Linked DNA regions of Mytilus edulis. The protein of the gene in region 2 purifies or fractionates together with the protein of the main gene of each other region. This does not show direct contact. Links are inferred from orthologs where the notes say so. Each region holds a gene or a part of one and is shown on either strand. Other genes may lie near its edges.

Region 1 (12,493 bases), on a different chromosome or scaffold from region 2:
TACCGAAACCAATCATTTCATCACGAACGTTCAGAAAGAAGGCTAAATTAGACGCTTCGCGTAGGAAAAGTGCCATGTTCAACTCTGCCTCATTTTTCAAGAGTTTTTGTCAGGTTTCTTTAAGCTAAGAAAGTTCACTTATAAGGAACCATTTTTTGGCCACTACCAACTTTTTTTCTATTTATGTGCAATTTTTAGCCCTGCATCCTAGTCAGTCTTAAACCCACCTATCATTAGAGAGAAGGGAATAAGGGAATTTGACAAAAAGACCACAACCTGACCCAAAAGGCCACCAATGGGTATTCAGCACAGCAAGAAAAATGCAAAATGCGAAAACATGTAGAAGAGTTGAACATTTGTGTGAGATTTCGTTCCCTCTTATATCCTTTAGCCATTATGGAATTAACAAACACACAGTTTGGATGAAATTCGAATCCGATGTTAAAATGGTTAAAGAAGAAACTAAGCAAAAGATAAAATAACAAAAATACCGAACTCTGAAAAAAAACCAAGCATTTTCTTATGTCGAAAATGATAGATGAAACCTTATTTAATAGCTAGCTAAACCCCTCACCATTTTATTGACAACGACGTGTGAACAAAACAAAGAGACATTTTAATTTTAACATAAAAAATTGTGGTATACATATAGCAGTCAAAATTGTGTTATAACCTTGTCAAAAAGACATGGCTCAACAAAAATGAACAAAGGATTACAAGCAGTCACTAAAAATGTCATCTTTAATTATCATTATATCGTTACTATCTCCCTTGTGAACTATTTTATTTTTGTTAACTTGTTTTCGTCCTGATTACGCAATACATTATGACACTGGACCTTAAGGTGGTACCCAACACTTTAACTAAAATTAATTTGGCTCGTTTAATTTTCTTAACATTTTGACAAAGTATTTACTTTGTCCCTTTTGCAAAAATATAAAAATTTCAACAAATTTGAACAATGATTTAAAAACAACAAAAATAGCTAAGCTCTGCCAAGTGTTTCGACCGCGGTGAAAGACAGACATTTTAACTTGCTAAAGGCCCAATACGTCCCCTCCATGAGATGTTGCAAGGATTAATTAACATGCAACAATCACGACACTTTCCTAATAAGAAGCATTAAGAAGGGAGGTGGCTTCATAATCATACATCTCGAAAAGCTAAACAAACGCCCCTCTTGATCATGGGGTTTACTTTCGGATTCGAGGATTCCATGTTACCCTATCTTTATTAACTAGTCAACCCTTGTAGTTTCAATAGTTATCAAGTCACTGATTCGTTCAGAGACCAAACAAATGATCACCCGAACTCGAAGCAAGCATACTACCACTATGACACCAAGATGTGCCAGACATACAGAATAATCTGTTTAAATATTTGTCGATATGATATATTTAAATTAAAGTATAACTTTGAAGTAAAATGAGATGTAAGCAAAATCAGAAACACAAGCAGACAAAAATAACATGGTCTAACGCGCGTCTGGTGCAAATATAAAATTCCAATCCTAGTATCTCTGATGATTTTATTGGTCATTTGCTTCAAATATGTCCTTCTTATATATGATATGGAAGATCTGTTTTAGCTTAAACAGCTTTAATCAGAATCAACAATGAAGTTTTAGGTGTTGTTTAGTAACTTACCTGGGTTGAGTTATTGCTGAGAACATGCTGAAATGCCTCTCTCTTCAACAGTAAAGCATCAAGACAGATAATGACTGGGTCAAACTCTATATATTTGTCTACAAGTTCTTTACAATGGATCTAAAATTTAAAAATGCGTATATATATAAAATAATTCCATTTGCATTTTCATTTTCATAAAATACGTAATTTTGGCTTGGAAATGCGTAAATTACTTTTTTTGATCTCACTCGTGCAAACCTCTTGGTCCATTGCCACAATTTGGCTACACTTTATTATGTCCTTTTTGTATGATAAGCTCTTCTACTTTTCAAACAGTTCGGATTTTTTGTCCACAGTATCACTGAAGAGTCGTTTATTGTCGAAATCCGCAGCTTGTGCAGTGAAATTGGTACCGTTAACTTAATGTTATTTGTTTACATAAGTCATTGAAAAACTGGTCATTATCGTGATACATGGACTGACCTACGGGTAGTCTATGTTTCACGATAATAAGCAGTTCTTCAATAACTATTATGTTTATTTCATTGAGGAACTATGTTTTTAAAAATTCTCATAAATTGAGAATTGCTACTGAGGCTTACATGTATACTAAAACACTGTCCGCCCTTCATTGATATTTGCCAGGGATTTACTCGCTCTTGAAAGGTCCTTTTGATAGTCTGAAGAACCAAACTGTTCTTGAAGCCTTGGCTGTTGTCTAATCAATGCGAGTGTATCATGATAGATCTTGGCTGATTGTCAACAGTATTTGCTAACATTGCATGTCTCTATTGTGTGGCCATAAGGATGTATATGGTATTGATTATACTACGCGCATATACCCTTTATCGCTATGTGGATAGAAATCATTTGCCAGATTACCGCCACTTTTCCCATGGTTCTGGTTGGATGTTCGTGTCGGATATTAACTTTGTTTCTATGTTCTTGGGGATCAAACAGTCATCATCAAACTGTTTAAAAAAAGAACCCAAATTTCAGTTAGTTCATTAATTAAAAAGTCAGAAATTTGAGAATCATTTTTAAAAGTAAGAAATAATAGGGTCATATGACGTTGACATGCTCCCTCTACTTGGACATGTCGCCTTCTTCTGCGTATGAAGTTACCATATCATTTCAGGACTGAACAGCTGATTCTACAGTTTTGGAACTTGAGAGGAACAATCTTTGATGTGGTAACTTGACGGAGGTTTTCCTAAAATCAAGTATTACGGCATCTGTCTTATGTAGACGAAACGCGCGTCTGGCGTACTAAATTATAATCCTGGTACCTTTGATACCTATTTACACCACTGGGTCGATGCCACTGCTGGTGGACGTTTCGTCCCCGAGGGTATCACCAGCCCAGTAGTCAACACTTCGGTGTTGACATGAATATCAATAAAGTGGTAATTTTTATGAAACAAAACTTTGAATTTTTCGAAAAACTAAGGATTTTCTTATCCCAGGCATAGATTACCTTAGCCGTATTTGGTACAACTTTTTGGAATTTTGGATCCTCAATGCTCTTCAACCTTTGTACTTGTTTGGTTTATAAATGTTTTGATATGAGCGTCACTGGTGAGTCTTATGTAGACGAAACGCGCGTCTGGCGTACTAAATTATAATCCTGGACTTTTCCTGGTACCTTTGATAACTTATATATATTGAACGTCTTTTGCAAAGTCTTGGATGGTTGCGATAAGCTATGTTTCACTAAAACGTCTACTCAAGAATCTATTCTGAGCATCAATAAGGGATTTTTTTGTAAGTGTTGTCACTGATGATGCATTTGTAGACGAAACGATCATCTGGCGCAAACACAAATTTCATTTCTGGTTTCTATGATGAGTTTATTTATGGTAGAATGTAGAATATGCCCAACAACAATATTGGAACATGAAAGTCAATGAAACCGGCATGTTGATAGCAGCTTTGCTCTTGTTTCCATTTTTAAGACATGTCTAACTTGTCTTACTATCCAGATGTCTAGAACCGTGTAAAGGTTGATTGAAGTCTGGTGTATTAGATAAAACACTGGGCAGCTCCTTCAAAAAAATAGCTGGTACTTAGTCGGGTCCTTCAGCTTTGTGTGGTTTATAAAGATTTTTGAGAAGCGTGTACACTAATGTAATTGAGCCATATGTGGAAATGTGCTTGGTCCCTTGTCCTTCTCTTGGGAATACAGACTTGAAGGATGTTTGTGTTTGTGATTTGTTCGCTTTGTACATATGTGAGGCCTTCTTGGACTCCTGCAATGTGCGATTGTGCTACTTGCTAAAAGACCAGAAGGTCTTAGTGTTACAGTTTGGTTTTGAACGTATGAGGTCACGGTCATAGTTCAAAAAGTCGTGTGAGCTTGACGAATACTCATCTAGAAATTTAACATTTAATGATTGTAGCGTTGATACACTTATTTTGCTTCTTGCTTTTTTTTTTGTTCTCTCTCTTATTGTATTAGTTTTGGGTAGTTGTTAGAGATGACAGGAATGTAAAGTAGTTCAATTATCTGTCAATCTAAAAATGCACTCTCTATATATACTTGATTAGCATAGTCCATCTATCATTGATCATCATTTGCTCGTGCATATTAATCTTCAACAACATGGCGGAAACTTCTTTACGGCTTTCGTTTTTTTCGAAGTGACAGATGTCAGCTGATTTGTCAATCCAGCAAATAAATAACAACAATACAAGAGGAAAGAAAATACTAGACCAGATGTTTACAAGCCACCCCTGAGAGAGAGATTTAAAACACTGCCACCCATACTATAGGAAATAGCTATCATGACATAGTATTAGTGGACATATCAGCAAATGTCAAATATCAATTGCTAGACAGAGCCACCCTTGGGTGAATACCCAACTGAGACAATTGAGCAAACAGAAACCAAGAGCTAACTCCAAGGCAAAACACAACAACTCACCAAAGGACTGGAAAGTCAAACGGTATAAAAACATCAGAGCTGAACTTCAACGAGCGTCTAGACGAGCACATACAAAATGCATGCAAAATATAGTCTGTGGAGATTTAAACAAGAACCCAAAAAGATTTTGGTCATACATAAAGAGTAGGAAACAGGAATCTTCAGGTATAACAATTCTAAAAATAAAGATGGATACTACATAGCGACACACCAACAAAAGCTGCTATACTAAACAACCAATTCCATTCAATATACACCCAAGAAGACCTAAACAACATGCCAGATAAAGGGCCAAGCCCACATCCAACCACGAGACCAATAAAAATCAGTCGGAATGGTGTCACTAGACTACTTAGAGGACTAAGACCGTTTAAGGTAATTGGCCCAGATGACTGATTGACATACCAGCCTTCATTCTCAAGAATACTCCTGATCAACTATCATCTTACCTGACAAGACTATACCAACTGTCAATGGACCAGGGATCAGTACCAGAAGATTGGAGGTCAACCAACATAGTCCCAGTCTTTAAGAAAGGTAAAAAAAAACACAGCAGCAAATTACCGTCCAGAGTCCTTGACATCCATCACATGTAAGGTGCTAGAGCACATAATCCACAGTTCTATCATGGACCACTATGAACAAAACACCATACTTTGCAACGAACAACATGGGTTTAGAACCAAACGATTATGCGAATTCCAGCTGGTAATAACTATACACGAAATAGCTAAGAACATGGAGGACGGCGACCAGACAGACATCATCCTGATAAACTTCGCTAAGGCCTTTGATAAGGTGCCACATGCCAGACTACTTCATAAAATGGATTACTACGGAGTAAGAGGTTTCCAGATTCAATGGATAAAACAGTTTCTGTCCAACAGAACTCAGTCTGTCATTCTCGAAAACCACAAGTCGGACCCTCTTTACGTGATATCTGGAATACCCCAGGACACTTAGATGGGTCCCTTCCTCTTTCTGGTCTATATCAACGACCTCCCAGAAGCACCAACATCAAGTGCTCGACTGTAAGCTGATGACTGTAGATCTACTCTTCCGCTGCATTAGGAAAACAGAGGATGCAGACTTGCTGCAAAAAGACCTATTTAAATCTCGCTGGAAGAATGGGAACACAGACCAGCAGCTCGCTTTGTTTATAGTTGCTACCAGGACAACTCTCCTGAATATGTTACTAAGCTACTGGACCAACTTCAATGGGAATCACTGCTGCACAGACGACGGAAACAGAGCCTCGTGTTGTATAACAAGAACCAACACCAGTTGATTGCCATTGATCCAGCCAAATACTGCACAACAAGGGATAGTAGGACAAGGGACAACCACTAATGTAGACAAACTACTCCCACTCATTCTTCCCAAGAACAACTAGAGAATGGAATTAACTCCCCCAATATATAGTGGAGTCCGGATCACTAGAGGAATTCGGGTCCAGAGTGAATACCACCCCCTGGACCCAGCCACATCTGAAATACATTAATTGTAGACAGCAGGATAACATGTGTACATAGATGTAATTAAGATTAATATTTCATTGTAAATACCATCAAGTTTTGCCTGTCCTCCTGTCATTTTGAGATGCGCCCGAGTTTATTACACTTTAGTATAGAGTTGAAAAAGAAGAAGACATGTGAAATTGTGTTGCAACAAAACGAAGTTCATTATGTGATGCATTCAATGTTTGGGGTATGCTATGTGTCATATATTGTCTTTCTAAATATGAAATATTACTTACGCAGTGTTCCAGTTGTATTATATCTTTAGAGTAATGTCTATAAAGACTATTACACTTTGTTCCGCAGTTGATGCATTTCATTGTTTATAGCGGATGTTTACATTAGTAAAATAATAAACGATAGTTGTATGGACAGTCCGAATATCCGTATTTTTATTGTTCACGAATCGCATTCAATAAAAATACATATAACATTAATTGGTTATCAATATCTATACGATGAAATATGCATTATCTCAACATACAGTGACAACTTTATACATATTCCATGTTCATGCAATCCTATTTAACCCGTTTTTTCAACGGTTCTTTTCCGATTTAATTAATTTTTTACAATTGTTTTGGTATATCCGGTTCTTTAAAAACAAAAATGATTTCTGAAGAAGAAGCAAAGCCAAAGTAAGTAAGACTGTTATGTCGTTAACAAAACAGTCGATTAATCATTAGTTAATAACAGATAAGTTTAATAAGGCACTGCATTTTTTGAGGTGATCATGCAGCCAGAAATAGGCAGAATGTTAGGATGTATTCCATCAATCAGGAACATATATATAGATATACTGTTCCCAGCATCAATACACCTTATCGCTATACACCTTATCGCTATTTGTCCGCCATTGCTGGAAATCACACAGGTTCCCGTAAAATTTTGACGTCATAAAACAAAATGTCTGACGCCACAATGGAAAAGTGATTGTTGTTGACGTCAAAAGTTCAAGCGGACGGGTCAGCCGGGAATAGCGATAAGGTGTATTCCCGGCTGACCCGTCCGCTTGAACTTTTGACGTCAACAACAATCACTTTTCCATTGTGGCGTCAGACATTTTGTTTTATGACGTCAAAATTTTACGGGAACCTGTATGATTTCCAGCAATGGCAGACAAATAGCGATAAGGTGTATGTAATCCATTGATTGTAAAAATGGGTATCAGGTCCGTTCGCGCCCAATACACTTTCGCACCCTACACGTTCGCACCTCGCACGTTCGCACCCAATGTCCGTTCGCACTCTACACGTTCGCGCCCAATTTTAATACAAAATTCCAGTCGAATAATTGGAAAATCATGATTGTTGTTTTAAATTGCTTTGGTGTAAATACTGAATGTATTTATAGCTTGATATGAGTAAAGAGGGGGGATAGGACCTTTATCGGGACTCTGAATCGGGTGTTTTTAAGCTCGGGATTTCGGGATCCGGGAATCCTTTTTTTCGGATTTCGGGATTTCAGGATTTGCTTTATTTAAGTTCGGGACCTCGGGATTTCGTTTTTTCAAGTCCGGGATTTCGGGATCAAGACCCTTCCTATCCCCCCTCAGTAAAACATTGAAGATTTTAAACGAAAAACACAAAAGATAATTGTTTTTAACAGCTTGGTCCCTTTGATCTGAAACAATGAAACAATAAAATATAGCAATACACGAATTATAACCAAAACATGATAAAATTTATACAACACACAAAAACAAAAAAAAACCTAGTCAGAATCTCACTTTATTTTGAATCAAGTCAGTGAAACAAAGTTATAGCAATACCACCGTGTAGATTGCCACATGCGGGGTGTCGGCTATGTTTGACATGGGGTGGCAATTTTGAAGCGACGAAAAAGTAACAAATTAAACAAGGTAAGTTCAAGCATCAAAATTTCTTATTTTTAGAACTCTCAGTACCATATAATGTATTGCACGGAAGGAACCGCAACATAATCTATTTCCTGAAAGCAGAAGCAGTCGTTTTCAGTGCTTAGTTTTCTCAAACACCTCGCCCTAGTTTTCCGGGTTGCAGATTTGAGGCTTTATTTGCCAATTTCGGTATAAAAAACTACTTTACACAGCTAACCTCCATATCATTTATATAGAATTGTATTCGTCTCTTTGATTTATACCAAATACCAGTTTCTTGGTTAAAATTAATTGGTTTTAAAACTGTTATTCATCAAAATATAAAGTGTCGCTCGGGGTGTCAGATTTTGTGTCGCAAGGGGTAGAGGCTTGTCATAAAAAAGAATACATTTTCTTATAAATCGATCTCTATCTGATACTTTTTAATTCAAACACACCTACACTGTTATGATGACAAATTACAAACTTAAGGTATGTAGTTCTAGCTGGGCGATTATGAACGAAATAACTGTCTTGAATCATATTTTCTTGTAAACCTGTTCCGTTGTATATTTGTGTATAAGTCGTTGTTTTCTCATTGACAATTGTAGTATCATCGTCTTCAGGATTACTTGAAGTTGTGTTGTCATTCGCTGAAAAAGATGCCGGTGAGTGTTTCATTGGAGAAAGTGTTCTAATTCTTTTAGGAGTGATGGTTTTTGGCGGCGTGCATGAGTGCTTTTTAGATGAACCTGGTGATGAACTATGATGCATTTTTGCTGGTGGAGGCTTCTTATATTAAGGACTATTTTGTGATTTTCCACCATGTTTTGGTTTATTGAGCCATAGCCTTGCCTTTTTTTACCATGATAGTGACTGAAAAGGAAAAGAAATCGTTTACCAGCTTGGAAACTAAATATGTTGAGTCATTTTTTACTATGAATGAAATCAAAAGCACATGTTTTATAAGACCAAAAACAGGCAAAATGAAAAACCCTTATTTTGTCATGGTAAAGTAGATGTGAATGAAATCAAATCATATCTTTTATAAGACGAAAAACAGGCAAAATGAAAAATCCTATTTTGTCATGGTAAAGTAGATGTGTTTGAAATAAAATGTATCATATGAAGGCTAATTTACATACAAATATGTATTTTTTATGACAAGCCTCTACCCCTTTCGACGCAAAATCTGACACCCCGAGCGACACTTTATATTTTGATGAATAACAGTTTTAAAACCAATTGATTTTAACTAAGAAACTGGTATTTGGTATAAGTCAATGAGAGGAATACAATTCTATATACATGGTACGGAGGGTAGCTGTGTAAAGTAGTTTTTATACCGAAATTGGCATATAAAGCCTCAAAATCTGCAACACGGAAAAGTAGGGCGAGGTGTTTGAGAAAACTGAGCACTGAAAACGACTGCTTCTGCTTTCAGGAAATAGATTTTGTTGCTGTTCCTTCCGTGCAATATATTATATGATACTGAGAGTTCTAAAAATAAGAAATTTTGATGCTTGAACTTACCTTGTTACTTTTTCGTCGCTTCAAAATTGCCACCCCATGTCAAACATAGCCGACACCCCGCATGTGGCGTTCTACACGGTGAATACACTAACCAAAACATGATTAAGAGTTATTCAACACAAAATAAAACTTTGACAGAATCCCACTCATGACTTTATTTAGAAAGTATTATTATTTTTTTTAACAATACACTTTCCGAAACATGATTAAGATTTATTCAATACAAAAAAAAATGCTGTCTCACTTTATTTTGAGACAATGAAAACAATTATACTTATGAGAATACACTTGCCAAAACTTGATTACAAAGTTGTTAAACACAAAACCAATTAAAATTGGGCGCGAACATGTAGGGTGCGAAAGTGAAAGGGGGCGAACATGAGTGGGTGCGAACGTGAATGGGCGCGAACGGACCCGGATTCGTAAAAATGTGTACTCTCTTTTTCTCTTTTGATAAAAGTAAACTGTCCAAAAGATTCCAATCTTTTTTTTTGTAAAATGTTAGTAAACATAGTGTCACTGCTATTTTGTCTTTCTTTATTACTAATGGAAACATATACTGTACATTCCTTGATAAAATATTTATTCATTTGAGTTATCTCCCCTTAATATTTAACTTATTACTTTATATTTATTCATCAATAACAAAAATGTATTAACATGATTAACAGACATATAATTATAAAACTATAAAAAGACAACAACATCCGAGATTACTGCAATGCAATGCTTTATTCTGGTCTACATTGTACATGTTTCAGTACTTACAGTGGTGTCTTCAGGACAATTTTATGATACAAATGTAGGAAATAAGTGCTCAAGTACATAAAATACACCTTATCGCTATTTGTCTGCCATTACTGGATATCACACAGGTTCCTGTAAAATTTTGACGTCATAAAACAAAATATCTGATGCCACAATGGAAAAGTGACTGTTGTATGCGTCAAAAGTTCAAGCGGCCAGAGCAGCTGGGATTAGCGATTGTATGCGGTTCATATGGGGTTTCAAAAAGGTTAACAAGGCGTAATGTCACACTCTAAGAAATATAGTGTGTGATGTGTAGTAGTTATTTCACATAAAAAAACCGGTAGTCTTTATATTGCAAACAATTTTTGATGCATGTTCTTATCAAGTTTCTTACATTTTTATTATTTTAGGAGTAAATTTGCAGAAATAAAAGATTTAATAGATAAAGAGGAATTTTCTCTTCGTAAAAGATTGCCAAGAAAACTACCAAAGAGAAAAAATGATGTTTATGTGTCAAGAAGAACTAATTTCAAACAACAGCTTGAGAGATGTCATAAACTAATGAATTCTGGAAATGAGGTGTATATTCATGGCTTAGGTGCAGCTATAAACCGGGCAGTTAATCTTGCATTAGAAGTGAAAAAATCTTCTATAGGAAATGTGGAAACAGAAACACAGACCTCCACAGTGGAACTTGTGGATGACTTAGAACCTGAAACAGATGAACATGAACCAGAAATTTTCATTAGAAATAATTCAGCAGTTCATATAAAAGTGTTCAAAGTTACTGGGACTTCTGTGGAACCTGAACAAATACAGTTGAAATAATAAATTAATAAATCCTCTTTTTAATTCATTTAATTGCTAGTTTATAGATCTCACAATACAAGTCAAAAGCAAGAATGATTAAATAAATCAGAGCTAAACACCCAATCCATTTGTCAATTTCAGCTTTCAAAGTTCTAGTTCATGAATAGAAAAACCCAAGTTATTATCAAAAGTATGTGCTATCAACCCTTCTTGTACATGTAGCTTTCAAATGCATTGTTGACAATAATAAAAAAAAATGTTGCATAATTTATCTATTTTTCCAAATTTAGGAAGTCCACTTTCATTCTAAAAAAAGGACTAAAGAGGATCTGGATCCCCTTTAAATTTTGAATGGCTTGTTCCTTGCTCAGATATTGTTTATCCAGTATACAAACAAGTATAAAGAGTAAAACATGTATATGAAAGCTCTCATTAAGAATTCATATTTTCAAGAAATTTCTATTTTTAGTAACAGTGACATTAACCTTTGACCTGTTGACATAAAAATCGATAGAACTCTTCACCTTCCAAATAGTTTTCATCAGTGTGAACAAAAAAGAATACTTGGTATGATTGCCATTAAGACAACTCTCCACAAGAGACCAAAAGACACAGAAATTAACAACTATATGTCACTGTATGGCTTTCAACAATAAGGAAAGCCCATACCATAGTCAGCTATAAAAGACCCCGAAATGACAATGTAAAACAATTCAAACGAGAAAAATAACGCCCAAATTTATGTACAAAATTTAAACAAAAAACAAATATGTAATAGATATACAAAAAAAAACTCTGAATTACAGGCTCCTGACTTGGGACAGGCACACATACAAGCAGTGGTGTAACTATACAACATATACATGTAAGAACAAACTATAAAAATTAGTCGAAAAGGGCTTTACTCATCAGATGGATACAATTACAAAAATACACTAAGTACTGATGTGTGAGTACTCCAAGTTACTGACAGCTAGTTCAAAGCCACTAACAACTAAAAGAAAAATCATGCATCATAGACAAAATTATCAATCAAAATTGAGAATGGAAATGGGGAATGTGTCAAAAAGACAACAACCTGATCATAGAAAAAACAACAACAGAAGGTCACCAACAGGTCTTCAATGTAGCGAGAAATTCCCACACCCGGAGGCGTCCTTCAGCTTGCCCCTAAACAAATAATATATTTAATATATACTAGTTCAGTGTTAATGAACGCCATACTAAACTCCAAATTGTACACAAGAAACTAAAATTTAAAATAATACAAGACTAACAAAGGCCAGAGGCTCCTGACTTGGGACAGGCGCAAAAATGCGGCGGGGTTAATAGATAAAGGAAGATGTGGTGTGAGTTCCAATGAGACAACTCTCCATCCAAATAACAATTTAAAAAGTAAACCATTATAGGTTAAAGTACAGCCTTCAACACATAACATGTTTATGAGATCTCAACCCTCCCCCTATAGCCAATGTAGAAAAGTAACATATAAAA
Region 2 (11,801 bases):
AGTTTCATAACATTTGGTTGAGGCAAACTAAAGTTAGAGAATATGGAGAAAAAAAATCAGCAATATTTCCATTTGTAGAGGGTCATAACTCTAGAACGGTAAATGTGAACCCACCACAATTTGGTCTTGATCTGTGTTTTGATGTAATAAGCAATTGTGTATATGTTTCACAACATGAGGTTGAGGCAAACTAAAGTCAGAGAACAGAAATGAAAAATTCAGCAATATTTCCATTTGTAAAGGAGCATAACTCTAGAACCTTAAAAATGACGCCACCAAAATTCATACTTTATCTGTGTCTTAAGGTAATAAGCATTGTGTATAAGTTTCATAACATTTTATTAAGGCAAACTCATTTTAAGAGAATGGAAACAAAAAATTTTGAAATTTATCCATTTGTAAAGGAGCAAAACTCTAGAAAGGCAAAAGTGACACCACCAAAATTCAAACCTGATCTGTGTTTTATGGTAATTAGTATTGTGTATAAGTTTCCTAACATTTGGTTGAGGCAAACTTAAGTTTTAGAGTGGAAACCAATTAAGGGATGTATGAAGGAACAGACCTACATACGGACGTACATACGACCATTGGTAAAACTTAATGCCCCCTCCACAACAGCAGGGCATAAATTTGTAATTTTTTTTGGAAGCTTTTACTAAACCACGAAAATGAGGTCAAGGACAATGGTCATATGATAGACCAAACTCCAAAAATTGAAACATAATGAATCAGAATACCAGGTATGAAGCATCCAGGTCTTCTACCTCCTGAAAAATAAAGCTTTAAATAGACAAGTAAGTTACAGTACACTGTTGTCACCACTGAATGTTATCCCTATGTTTTGCAAGGCGAGAAAAAACCTTCATGAAATAAAACATACTATGCTTGACAGTATGTCTACATAAAACCGTTTAAACTAATTTGAAACTGTCTTGTTCATAGGACTGTTCCCTTTAAAATTCAAACCAGACACTGAAGTTACCAGTCATATGAGGATAATATGTACCAATAGTCCAGTACCAGTCTATATTTTACGCTCCATATTTCACAGAACCTTGTGAAATAGAGTTCCATTAACTACGTAAGTTACTCGCAATCAATATATACCTGACCATAATCATAAATGTTTCAAAAAGGTATAACAAATTTGCCATTACTTATCAATGAAAGGGAGGTAATTATGAGCAATTTATATTTTAAAGATATTAAAATATTATATAATTCCTGAATCTTTTTCATAGTGAAATTATGATCTATAAACAACTCACTTTTACCCTTATTTCACTAACCTTATTTTATATATATTAAATAAATCATGATATTATTTCACAATTAAGATCTTTTAAATTACTTCTGGTTTTCTTTCATATGTTTCATGTTAATTTTTAAATCTTTTTAAAAGAATGATATTTACTTTAATATTTCAGGATATTATTTTCAATTATAATCTGTGAAATTATTTCCCATTATAATACATTTTTTTACCAACTTAAAAGCATAACTTCAAATACACTATTATTATTTCAAAGTATTTGTAAAGATTAAGTTTTTTTTAATAACTACTCAATAGTTTAACAACCCAGATAGAATTTCACGGCAAAGGAAAAAAATATAATAGCAAAAAATTTTCCTCCAGATAAAATAATGACAACAATTACTATGACATTTTTTCCACCGGATCAAATTTAACCAGGATACAGTTTTGCTTTACACATACCTGCTCTGTCTCTGGCACAAATCTGACGGACACAAGGACATGGTCCCTTCTACTGGTAACCTTGTATCTGGTGGTGTTGTACCAGAGACAGAACAGCTAGCAATGGCTAGTATGTGTAAAGCAAGAACATGGTTCCTTCTACTGGTAACCTTGTGTCTGGTGGTGTTGTACCAGAGACAGAACAGGTATGTACATGGATCCTTCTACTGGTAACCTTATGTCCGCCTGTTCTGTCTCTGGTACAACAACACTGATACAAGGTTACCAGTAGAAGCAAGGATTTGTATACTATACAAATCCTTGGTAGAAGGGACCATGTTCTTGCTTTACACATACCTGTTCTGTCTCTGGTACAACACCACCAGATACAAGGTTACCAGTAGAAGGGACCATGTTCTTGCTTTACACATACCTGTTCTGTCTCTGGCACAACACCACAAGATACAAGGTTATCAGTAGAAATGATCATGTTCATACATGTACATACCTGTTCTGTCTCTGGCACAACACCATCAGATACAAGGTTACCAGTAAAAGGGACCATGTTTATACATGTACATACCTGTTCTGTCTCAGACACAACACCACCAGATACAAGGTTACCAGTAGAAGGGATCATATACATACCTGTTCTGTCTCTGGCACAACACCACCGGATACAAGGTTACCAGTAGAAGGATCCATTCCTATTTGCCCAGAGAGGTACATAGTATTTTCAACCAGCACAGCCTGACTTTAAACAATAAAAGATATTTCAAAATAAAATAGTATGCATCAGAACAGTATTATGCACTGAGAAAGTTCTAATTAAAATATATTTTTTTTATACAAATTAATTGTAAGAATTTCACTACAAAGAACAGAAAGTAAAAAGAGTTTTTTTTCTTTGAATAAAGGAATGAATCCATTCCCTTTTCAAAATGAGAACAAGCCCAAAATTATATATTTGTGTTTCATGCCTCTGTGTATAAACTAATTTCTCATGAAAAAAGAGATCATTTCAGCTTCCCAACTTCCCAATTGTGAACATTCCATTCCTATGTATTAACATTCCAGCAGCGCCTGCATACAGAGTATATATCTCCAAATTGATATGATATTCCCTGGCCCAGGGAATATCTTATCAATTGAGAGATATATACTCTGTTTAGTGGCTTGTATTTCCTATCATGATTTCCTTGAAAGAGGATTGCTGCTCACAAGGAAGCTATTAGTTAAACCAAGTGTTCCAAATGGTGAAGTTGAAATCATCCCTTCGTAAATTTTACAGATGCCATCAAGAGTTGGTTGACCATTATGGAATAACCTTTTCACAGATGATATCGAATATGTTCCTTATGTTGTAATGACAATACCCCTCCCTTTTCATGAATGTGACTTCTTACCGATTTAGACTATTTAACAGATTTGTAATAACATAAGCAACACTATGGGTGCCACATGTGGAGCAGGATCTGCTTACCCTACTGGAGTACCTGAGATGACCCCAGTTTTTGGTGGGGTTCGTGTTGCTTAGTCTTCAGTTTGCTTTGTTGTGTCTTCTGTACTATTATTTGTCTGTTTGTCCTTTTATTTTTAGCCATGGCATTGTCATTTTATTTTTAGCCATGGCGTTGTCATTTTATTTTCAATCTATGAGGTTGACTGTCCCTCTGGTATCTTTCTATCCTCTTTTAAACTCTTATATAATTTAAGTCTTGAGAATTTTGATTAAGCACCTATAAAGGGGCTATCAGATTCCTGTTCACTGATATGACTCAAATTCTGCCATTTGATTTTTAACAAATAAAAACTTATATCCAATTTAAAAAAAGTCTATAATAATCAATTTACAATGCATGGGCTCAATAATATATGTATCAGTATTTCTTGTGCATTTTTGTCTACACTCCATCTACTGAACAATTGATATGTTCTAAGAAGACTGCATATGGTCGACAATATATTATTAACGTGATCAGAGGCGGGTTTAGGGCCCCCCCTTTTTGGGAAAAAATTTGGTTGCTTATATAGGAATCACTGAAGCGTGACTGGAGTGGGCCCCCTCTTAGGTCAGTCAGTGGGCCCCCACTTATGAAAATTTCTGGATCCACCACTGGTGATATATATAAAAAGATAGCAATCATGTCCAATCACATTGTTCTAGGTTAGTTTGATTCCATATTATGTCATGTACAAATGTATATCTTATTATCGCTATAACCTAGCCGTCTAAGAACGATTATTGTGGATCAAAGAAACCTAATAGGACTCATTGTAATTCCCTTTTATCATATATTTGCAGCTCTTGATCGAACCAATACATCAAAGTTATCATTAAGTATGGTTTTCATATAGATAAAAGGACAAGAAGGTTCACTTTCGGTCAATAATGGCCATGATTTTCAACTTGAAAGTATTTTTTTAAAGTGGCCATAATTTGGTTCTTAAATGGATCTATCTTTAAAAAAAGCCTGGCTTCCTTGACTTCCATGTTAGAACAAATCTCTTCATAAGAGTATATTCTTGGCTTCAAAATCATCACCTTTTAGATATAATGTCAAAAAGCTATGGTTTTGTGCATTTTTTCAGACTTAAAAAGCTTGAGGAAACCTATGGCCACAACCTAGAATCTATAATATTCTGTAACCAAAATTTGCTAATGATGAGATTGGTTACCTAGACATAGAAAAGTTCTGGATCATGGGTGGTGCCCAAAGTGTATAAATGCAAAAAAATATTAAGATTTATCTAAGATTTGACCAAATCTAACATTGCAACACAATAAATGTATACTGATTATGATGAAAGTATTTCATGTAAATAGTAATATCACAACTACATCTATGTGAAATTTGTAGTATTTTGGCTGGCTTAAAAAAACATCACAAACTTAAGGCTAATTCGAACACATTTAACCCTGATTCTTGAACTTAATCCTTTATATTTAGTAATTCTAATTTCTAGTTTATCTAATAACATAATGAATAAGGGAGATAATGCAAATTAAAAACTTAATACATAAATCTCTTTTAACACAAAATAAAATAGGCAAATTGTCAAACATTTTCATGTCATATATAGTCCAGTCAATCTAGATAGCATAAATTTGACCCTGACCTGAAAGTAATTGCAACAGATGATTTTTAAGTTTAATCTTTAGCATTATACCACAAAAATACACTGAAATAAGTCCCATTTAATCTTACTTGAGGAGGACTAAAAAAATCACCATTTAAAATTTGTCATTTGGAGATTTGCATTGAAAAGGGAGATACATGTAACTATTGCAAAACAGGCAGAAATAATCCAATATCAATAAAAATTGATACAAAATTATAACTTTACCGCTTCTATTCATCAGAATGCATTGATTCTTGATTTTTTAGCGGTCTTTAGAGTATAAAAAACAACTCCAAAGAGGTTTTAATATCTTTTATCAAGCTATAATCTAGATTTCGTAGTTCATATTATGGACTATTAATTAAATTTTTCAACCTGTCAAGATAAAGAATCTCAATTTTAATAAAAATAATTAAGCATGTATTCTTCTTTTTGTGGTTTAAAGTCTCTTTAGAAAAGTAAAATACTGAAAAAATATAATATATAGATATAAACAATACCAAATTTTCACATTATATTTTTAAAATGGTCACAAAGCTTCAAATTTGCGATTTCTTTAATGAAAAATGCTCAAAAAAAATTGAACTACCCATAACACTTCGCTTTTGTACATCTCATGAGCAGAGGATTATATGATTTAGTCAAATACAAACTTATAACCCCATCAATGTATCATACTTTACATAAATTTCAGGAAAAGCAACCAAAAACTGACCAAAAAAGACTCATGTTTGTTGAGTTATCTCCCCTTCCAATGTTAATTTCCATAGAAAATTAAAAATGCTTATTTTTTTCCCCCCTCAAGTTAGATTTAATGGGACTTTTTTTCTGTGTATATTAAGGGCATAATGCTATAGATTAGAACTAAAACATTTTCTGTTGCAAATTAGTTTGAGGTTAAATCTTAATTTGATCAGTTGATATTATACCACGACTCGGTCACTTTTTAAAGACTCTGAGACCACTTACTTTACAGCATCACTAGATGAAATGGACTCCTATGAATCATTGATTACCATGATTACAGACCAAATAATGTAGAAAAAAAAAAATTAAAAAAAAGATTACAGGACTAAAGGGTTTGTATTCAATCATTGGCTTTTAGGGAGCTACCATTTTATTTTTATGGTGGGGGTGGGGGGTTGGCTAGGATGAAAAATTATGTCCTGCATTTTTTTTAGCTTTAATCTCTGTCCTGCCTTTTTATTTTTCACTCTGTTCGAACCTGCCTTTTTTTTTACCTAAATTGTTGTCCTGACTTTTTTTCTTTTGCAAGTGTCTCATCCTGCCATTTTCTTTACTCAAAACTCCTGACCTGCCTATTTTTTTCAAATTTCATCCATTTTGGGGCCCTTTATAGCTTGTTGTTCGGTGTGAGCCAAGGCTCCGTGTTGAAGGCCGTACTTTAACCTATAATGGTTTACTTTTTAAATTGTTATGTGGATGGAGAGTTGTCTCATTGGCACTCACACCACATCTTCCTATATGATATATCTATTAACAAGAATGTGTTTACTTTTAAGTTAAACTTCCACCTGGAATTCAGTAACTTAATAACAAGGATACTCAGACCAACAATGTTATCAGAGTAACTTGTGAAAACAGCAAATTATAATATTTAATAAAAGTATAAAGGTTAATAAGTAAAATTGCTCAGCCTCAGGTGACCAAAGGTGCACATTGAGGTTTTTCAAATATTCAGCAAAGAGAATCACCTGTATGGTCCAATAGCAGCTGGAGCCTTTACTGTCTTTATTATCTTTCTTACAATTCCTGCCATATTTCAATGTGTTTGGTCAGCTCAGTTTAATTGTTTGTCCTTGTCATATGGGAGGTAATCCAGGAATAAAACGGTTCTTATGAAGCGCGATCCTGAGCATTGATCTGTTATTTATTTAAGTTCATGCCACATGTTTACATTTGGTTTTGTAAACTAAGATTTTTTTTATAATAATGGTTTTCATTTTCTGGTCATAGCATATGTTTTAAACGATGACATTATATCTTTGGTGGTGAAATAATATATCATTTATTCCGGAAGTGAATCGTCTGTCGTGTACAATAAAATGTCTGCGCCCATTAGAAACATGTACAAAAAGATGTAAGCGGATTAAAGTTGGTCAAATATAGTGAATTAGATTTGTCAAGCAGAAAACAATACTCTTTACAGGACCATGGTATGATTTAACATGTTTGTTTTATGTATTTTAAGGAAAAATACCTCAAATATAGTAGATAGTTACTGGTATTAGGTCCGTTCGCGCCCAATACAATACAATTCCTCACAAAAGACTTCTCTACAAACTAAAACATTATGGCATTGATGACAACACCTTAAAATGGATAGAAGATTTTCTCACATCTCGGACACAAACAGTGATCATTGATGGTGTTCAGTGAAGACAAAATAAACGTAACATCTGGTGTTCCCCAAGGAACAGTTTTGGGTCCGATCCTTTTCCTTGTATACATAAATGACTTTAACGAATACATCAAACACAGTACCCTCAGATTATTTGCAGATGATAGCATAATTTATAAAACAATACGAAAGAAAGAAGACACACAAAAACTGCAAGAAGATCTCACATCAGCTGCAAAATGGGAGAAGGACTGGCTCATGTCATTCCATCCAGACAAGTGCTCAGTCCTTCAGATAACAACTAAGAAAACCCCATTAAATTTTGACTATACTCTCCACCAACATGTACTTCAAAAAGAAACATCCACAAAATATCTTGGAATAACTATACAAACTGATCTCAAATGGAACAAACATGTAAACAATATCACAGCTGCAGCCACACAAAAGCTGAACTTTATTAAAAGAAATCTAAAAGTCAACTCAAAAACAGTCAAAGAAAAAGCATACATTGCACTAGTAAGACCAAAGCTAGAATACAGCAGCTGCGTCTGGGACTCGCACACCAAATCTCAAACACACCAACTTGAGATGGTCCAGCGCAGAGCAGCAAGGTACACCTGCAACAGATACCATAACACCAGCTCAGTCACTGAAATGCTACAAACCGCATCATTTTCCTCTACAAAATTATACATCATCTTGTTGCCATATATCCGACAGACCTACTTACACAATCTGATACAAGAACACGACAACATTCACATATTTACTCTTTCAGACCCATACAAACCACTAAAGACTCATACAAGTACTCATTCTACCCTAGAACAATCTTGCAATGGAACCTTCTCCCAGTAGCTGCAGTTCAATGTACTACTCTTGAAAGCTTCCAAGAACAGATTCCAATATCTGTTCTCAATAAACATTTAAATAAATTCCACAATGTATATAGTTTTAACCAAAATGTATAGTACAAAAACAGAAGAAAAAGAAGTTATAAATGTTGAAATTTTTATTTTTATTTTTGTATTTTTTCACTGTAAATAAAATTTATATCCACGCACGCGTGGCATAGTAAAATCAGTGCCCGGCACGTTATCATCAGTATGTTGATGGAGTGCTGAATTATAAAGAAGAAGAAGAAGAATACACTTTCGCACCCTTCATGTTCGCACCTCGCGGGGTGCACGTTCGCTCTCTACATGTTCGCGCCCAATTTTAATTCAAATTCCAGTTGAATTAGAATATAGGGGTAAAATGCAGTTTTTGGCTTATAACTCAAAAAACAAAGCATTTAGAGCAAATCTAAATTGTTTATCAGGTCAAGATCTATCTGCCCTGAAATTTTCAGATGAATCTGACAATGCGTTGTTTATAGGTTGTTGCCCCTGAATTGTTTATTTTTATGAATTTTTGCTGTTTAAGAGATAATTGTATTGTATTTGAAGCTTTAAGGACGTCCATCGGTAGTTTTATTGTCGCAAATTTAGTTTACCTGGCGACGCTGAGCGGAGACAGGTAAACTCGTATTTGCGACAGTAAAACTACCAATGGACGCCCGAAAAGCTTCAAATACAATACAGTTATCTCTATTCTAATGCAAAACAAGTTTATAATTAAATTTCAATCATTATTTCAGTGTAAAATCTTCATAAAAGAAAATTCCGTGAAAAAATGTTATCTTTTTTGGTCCCTACACTAGGGGACGTCATAGGTATGCTTCCGGCGTCAAACATAAACACCAGGCTTTTTCTGGCTTTTGTGCCGCTTCAGAATGTAATAAAATTTGTTAAAAAGAAGATGTTTAGGCGCAATAAGTGAGTTTTTATGCAGTTAAGCTGCATTATGCGAGCACCCTAGATTTGTGTTCTACCCAATAAATGCTGAAATACTTGCCATTGTTATTATCTAGCTCGCTACTATGTTATATATAACTAATTGAACACATTTTTAATACTTTTTATTCTGGATTACAAAAAATATGACAAGAAAAACCTTGAATGATCGTCGATTTATCCAAAAGTTTTAAAGTTACACATAGGAAGTAGTGCTTATTAAGAATCCTTGTGTAGTTCATTATGACTTGTGCTTTTAGCTAAGATGTCAAAGAACAATTGTATGAAATATTTAATCGCCGAAAATCTCTTAAGACAAGTAGTTTAGATTTTCCAAATGACAAAAGTCGTAGGAATATTGTTTGTCATCAATACGTAGTACAACTACGTCAGTAGTCTATTATATAATAAGTTCAACTGTTCATGCTGTTGGCGGCAATTTCAAATTAGAAAAAGAAATTTTTCGTAGCTTTTCAATTTGGAGGCAAGACTAGTGTGCAAATTATCGGTGGTCCGAGGTCCGCGACCTTCCACTTTTGCAAGCGGAATTTCGAATAGGATAGTTGGTTTCTAGCTACGCCCGACGTAGTCACCTTCCACTTGAAAGAAAACAAGAAATTACTTTGCAAACCTTTTCACCATGTTCACCAAAGTCTCCAATTAAACGAGCTAAAAACTTATTTTTATCATTATTAGTCATGACAGCGATGTTCATTTTGTTCAACCGCTAGCTTTATGCAGAAAATCTCCGACAAATATTGTATAAATTCGAGTAAAATCCTATCTGATTGACACAAACAACATTGTAAACACATACCAATGGCGGCCGTGAAGACCAAATTTTAATATCGGATCCGATTCCGGAAGCGGATAAGGGTAATTCCGGGTTTGGCGATCATTTACAAAATAAATCCAAGCAGGTGAAACAACACATCTATGCATGGTAAATTAATGAATATAAACACTAGAATTGTAAACCAAAAGATATATGTAAAAGAAAGAAAAATCAGAAAAATATTTTATTCAGAAACTCAAAATTACTTTTTGACAAATTTTTAATTTAAAAATCCAATACAAAGTGACAGCTGGGAACAGTATATCTAACAATATACATGTTCATGGTCACAGTCTAAATTTTCTTTATAAATGATAAATGATAATGCATGTGAGATGCTTTTAAAGTGTTAACATATTACTGCAATTTCGAAGGGTTATTTGTTTTTCTCAATTTTGAAGGGTCAATTAAAGTAGCTGAAAGTTTCTTTCTTTATTTTCACAAATAATGCAACTATATTATATATACCTTAATGTAAGTAAATCATATGATATATAGGTGGCATTCTTTGAGCCACTCTACCCCCTCCTGTTTGATAACTTGGAAACGGTCGAGCTCCCCACCCCTAAACCATATGAGGGGCAGATCCAGGATTTTAGGTTAGGAGAGGCGCAAACTTAAATGTTTGCCGAGCAGAGCGAGGCTAAAAAAATTTGAGGTAAGAACTATTAAGCTAAGAACAACCCATGCTTTGCAAATTTAAGGGGTGGGCAAGCCCACAACCCTCCCCCCGTCTGAATCAACCCCTGCATATATTCAAGTATAGGACAATATAATAAATAAAAAATGAAATATAGGGGAAGTCCCTGGAGTTACCTCACCCCCTCCTGTTTGAGAACTTGGAAACGGTCGAGATCCACACTCCTTAACCATATATATTCATGTTTGTGACAATATGAAAAATCAAATGAAATATAGGAAGAGTCGCTGGGGGTCACCCCACCCCTCCTGTTTTTTAGAATTTAAAAATGGTCGAGATCCCCACTCCTAAACCATATATATTCATGTATGGGACAATATAACAAATCAGATGAAATATAGGGGGAGTCCCTTGGGTCACCCCACCCCCTCCTGTTTGAGAATTTGAAACCCGTTGAGATCGCCACCCCTTAACCATATATATTCATGTACGGGACAATATAACAATTCAAATGAAAGATAGGGGGAGTACCTGAGGTCACTGTTCACCCTCCTGTTTGAGAACTTGGAAATGGTCAAGATCCTTACCCCTAAACCATATATACTCATGTATGGGACAATATAAAAAATCGAATGAACTATAGGGGAAGTCCCTGTGGTCACCCCAACCCTCCTGTTTGAGAACTTGGAAACGGTCGAGATCCCCACACCAAAACAATATATATTCATGTATGGGCCAATATAACTAATTAAATGAAATATAGGGGGAGTCCCTGGGGTCACCCTACCCCTCCTGTTTGAGAACTTGGAAACCAATGAGATCCCAACCCCTAAACCATACAGTGTATATATTCATGTATGGGACAATATAACAAATAAAATGAAATGTAGGGGAAGTCTCTAGGGTCACCCTACCCCCAGTGGCGGATCCAGAAATTTTCATAAGTGGGGCCCACTGACCGACCTAAGTGGGGCCCGTTCCAGTGGTTCCCTATATAAGCAACCAATTTTTTTCCCAAAAAAGGGGGGTGGGGCTGCCCCCCTGCCCCCCCTAAATCCTCTGCCTACTTTGAGAACTTGAAAACCGTTGAGATCCCCACCCCTAAATTATATATATTCATATGTATGGGACAAAATAACAAATCATTTACATTTACTATGGGCAGGTCAGTCAGACCTCACCTTTGATCCCTGTTGTAGTGAACATTTGTCTGATTCGTGTCTCATAACTTTTGTACTATAGAACACAAACTCAGTTTTCTTTCCAGGGAAACCAGTCCATTCATACTATTACATGTTCATACTAAG

The links.
Region 1: the proteins of ribonucleases P/MRP protein subunit POP1-like (region 2) and ribonuclease P protein subunit p20-like purify together in Homo sapiens (affinity purification with mass spectrometry; 3 studies listed by BioGRID and IntAct, with this or other methods). This does not show direct contact. The link is inferred for Mytilus edulis from reciprocal best matches to the Homo sapiens genes POP1 and POP7.

Annotation. Positions count from the first base shown.
Region 1 is NC_092346.1:9,582,157-9,594,649, reverse strand, and holds ribonuclease P protein subunit p20-like, read left to right. Parts: upstream 1-6,602; 5' UTR 6,603-6,678; coding exon 6,679-6,707; intron 6,708-10,599; coding exon 10,600-11,017; 3' UTR 11,018-11,034; downstream 11,035-12,493. Other genes in the region: protein ARV1-like, read right to left, coding at 1,647-1,766, 6,309-6,389. UniProt on the Homo sapiens protein: Component of ribonuclease P, a ribonucleoprotein complex that generates mature tRNA molecules by cleaving their 5'-ends. Also a component of the MRP ribonuclease complex, which cleaves pre-rRNA sequences.
Region 2 is NC_092344.1:124,481,065-124,492,865, reverse strand, and holds the start of ribonucleases P/MRP protein subunit POP1-like, read left to right. Parts: upstream 1-6,850; 5' UTR 6,851-6,993; coding exon 6,994-6,996; intron 6,997-11,801. Other genes in the region: 2-iminobutanoate/2-iminopropanoate deaminase-like, read right to left, coding at 2,345-2,450, 6,535-6,599. UniProt on the Homo sapiens protein: Component of ribonuclease P, a ribonucleoprotein complex that generates mature tRNA molecules by cleaving their 5'-ends. Also a component of the MRP ribonuclease complex, which cleaves pre-rRNA sequences.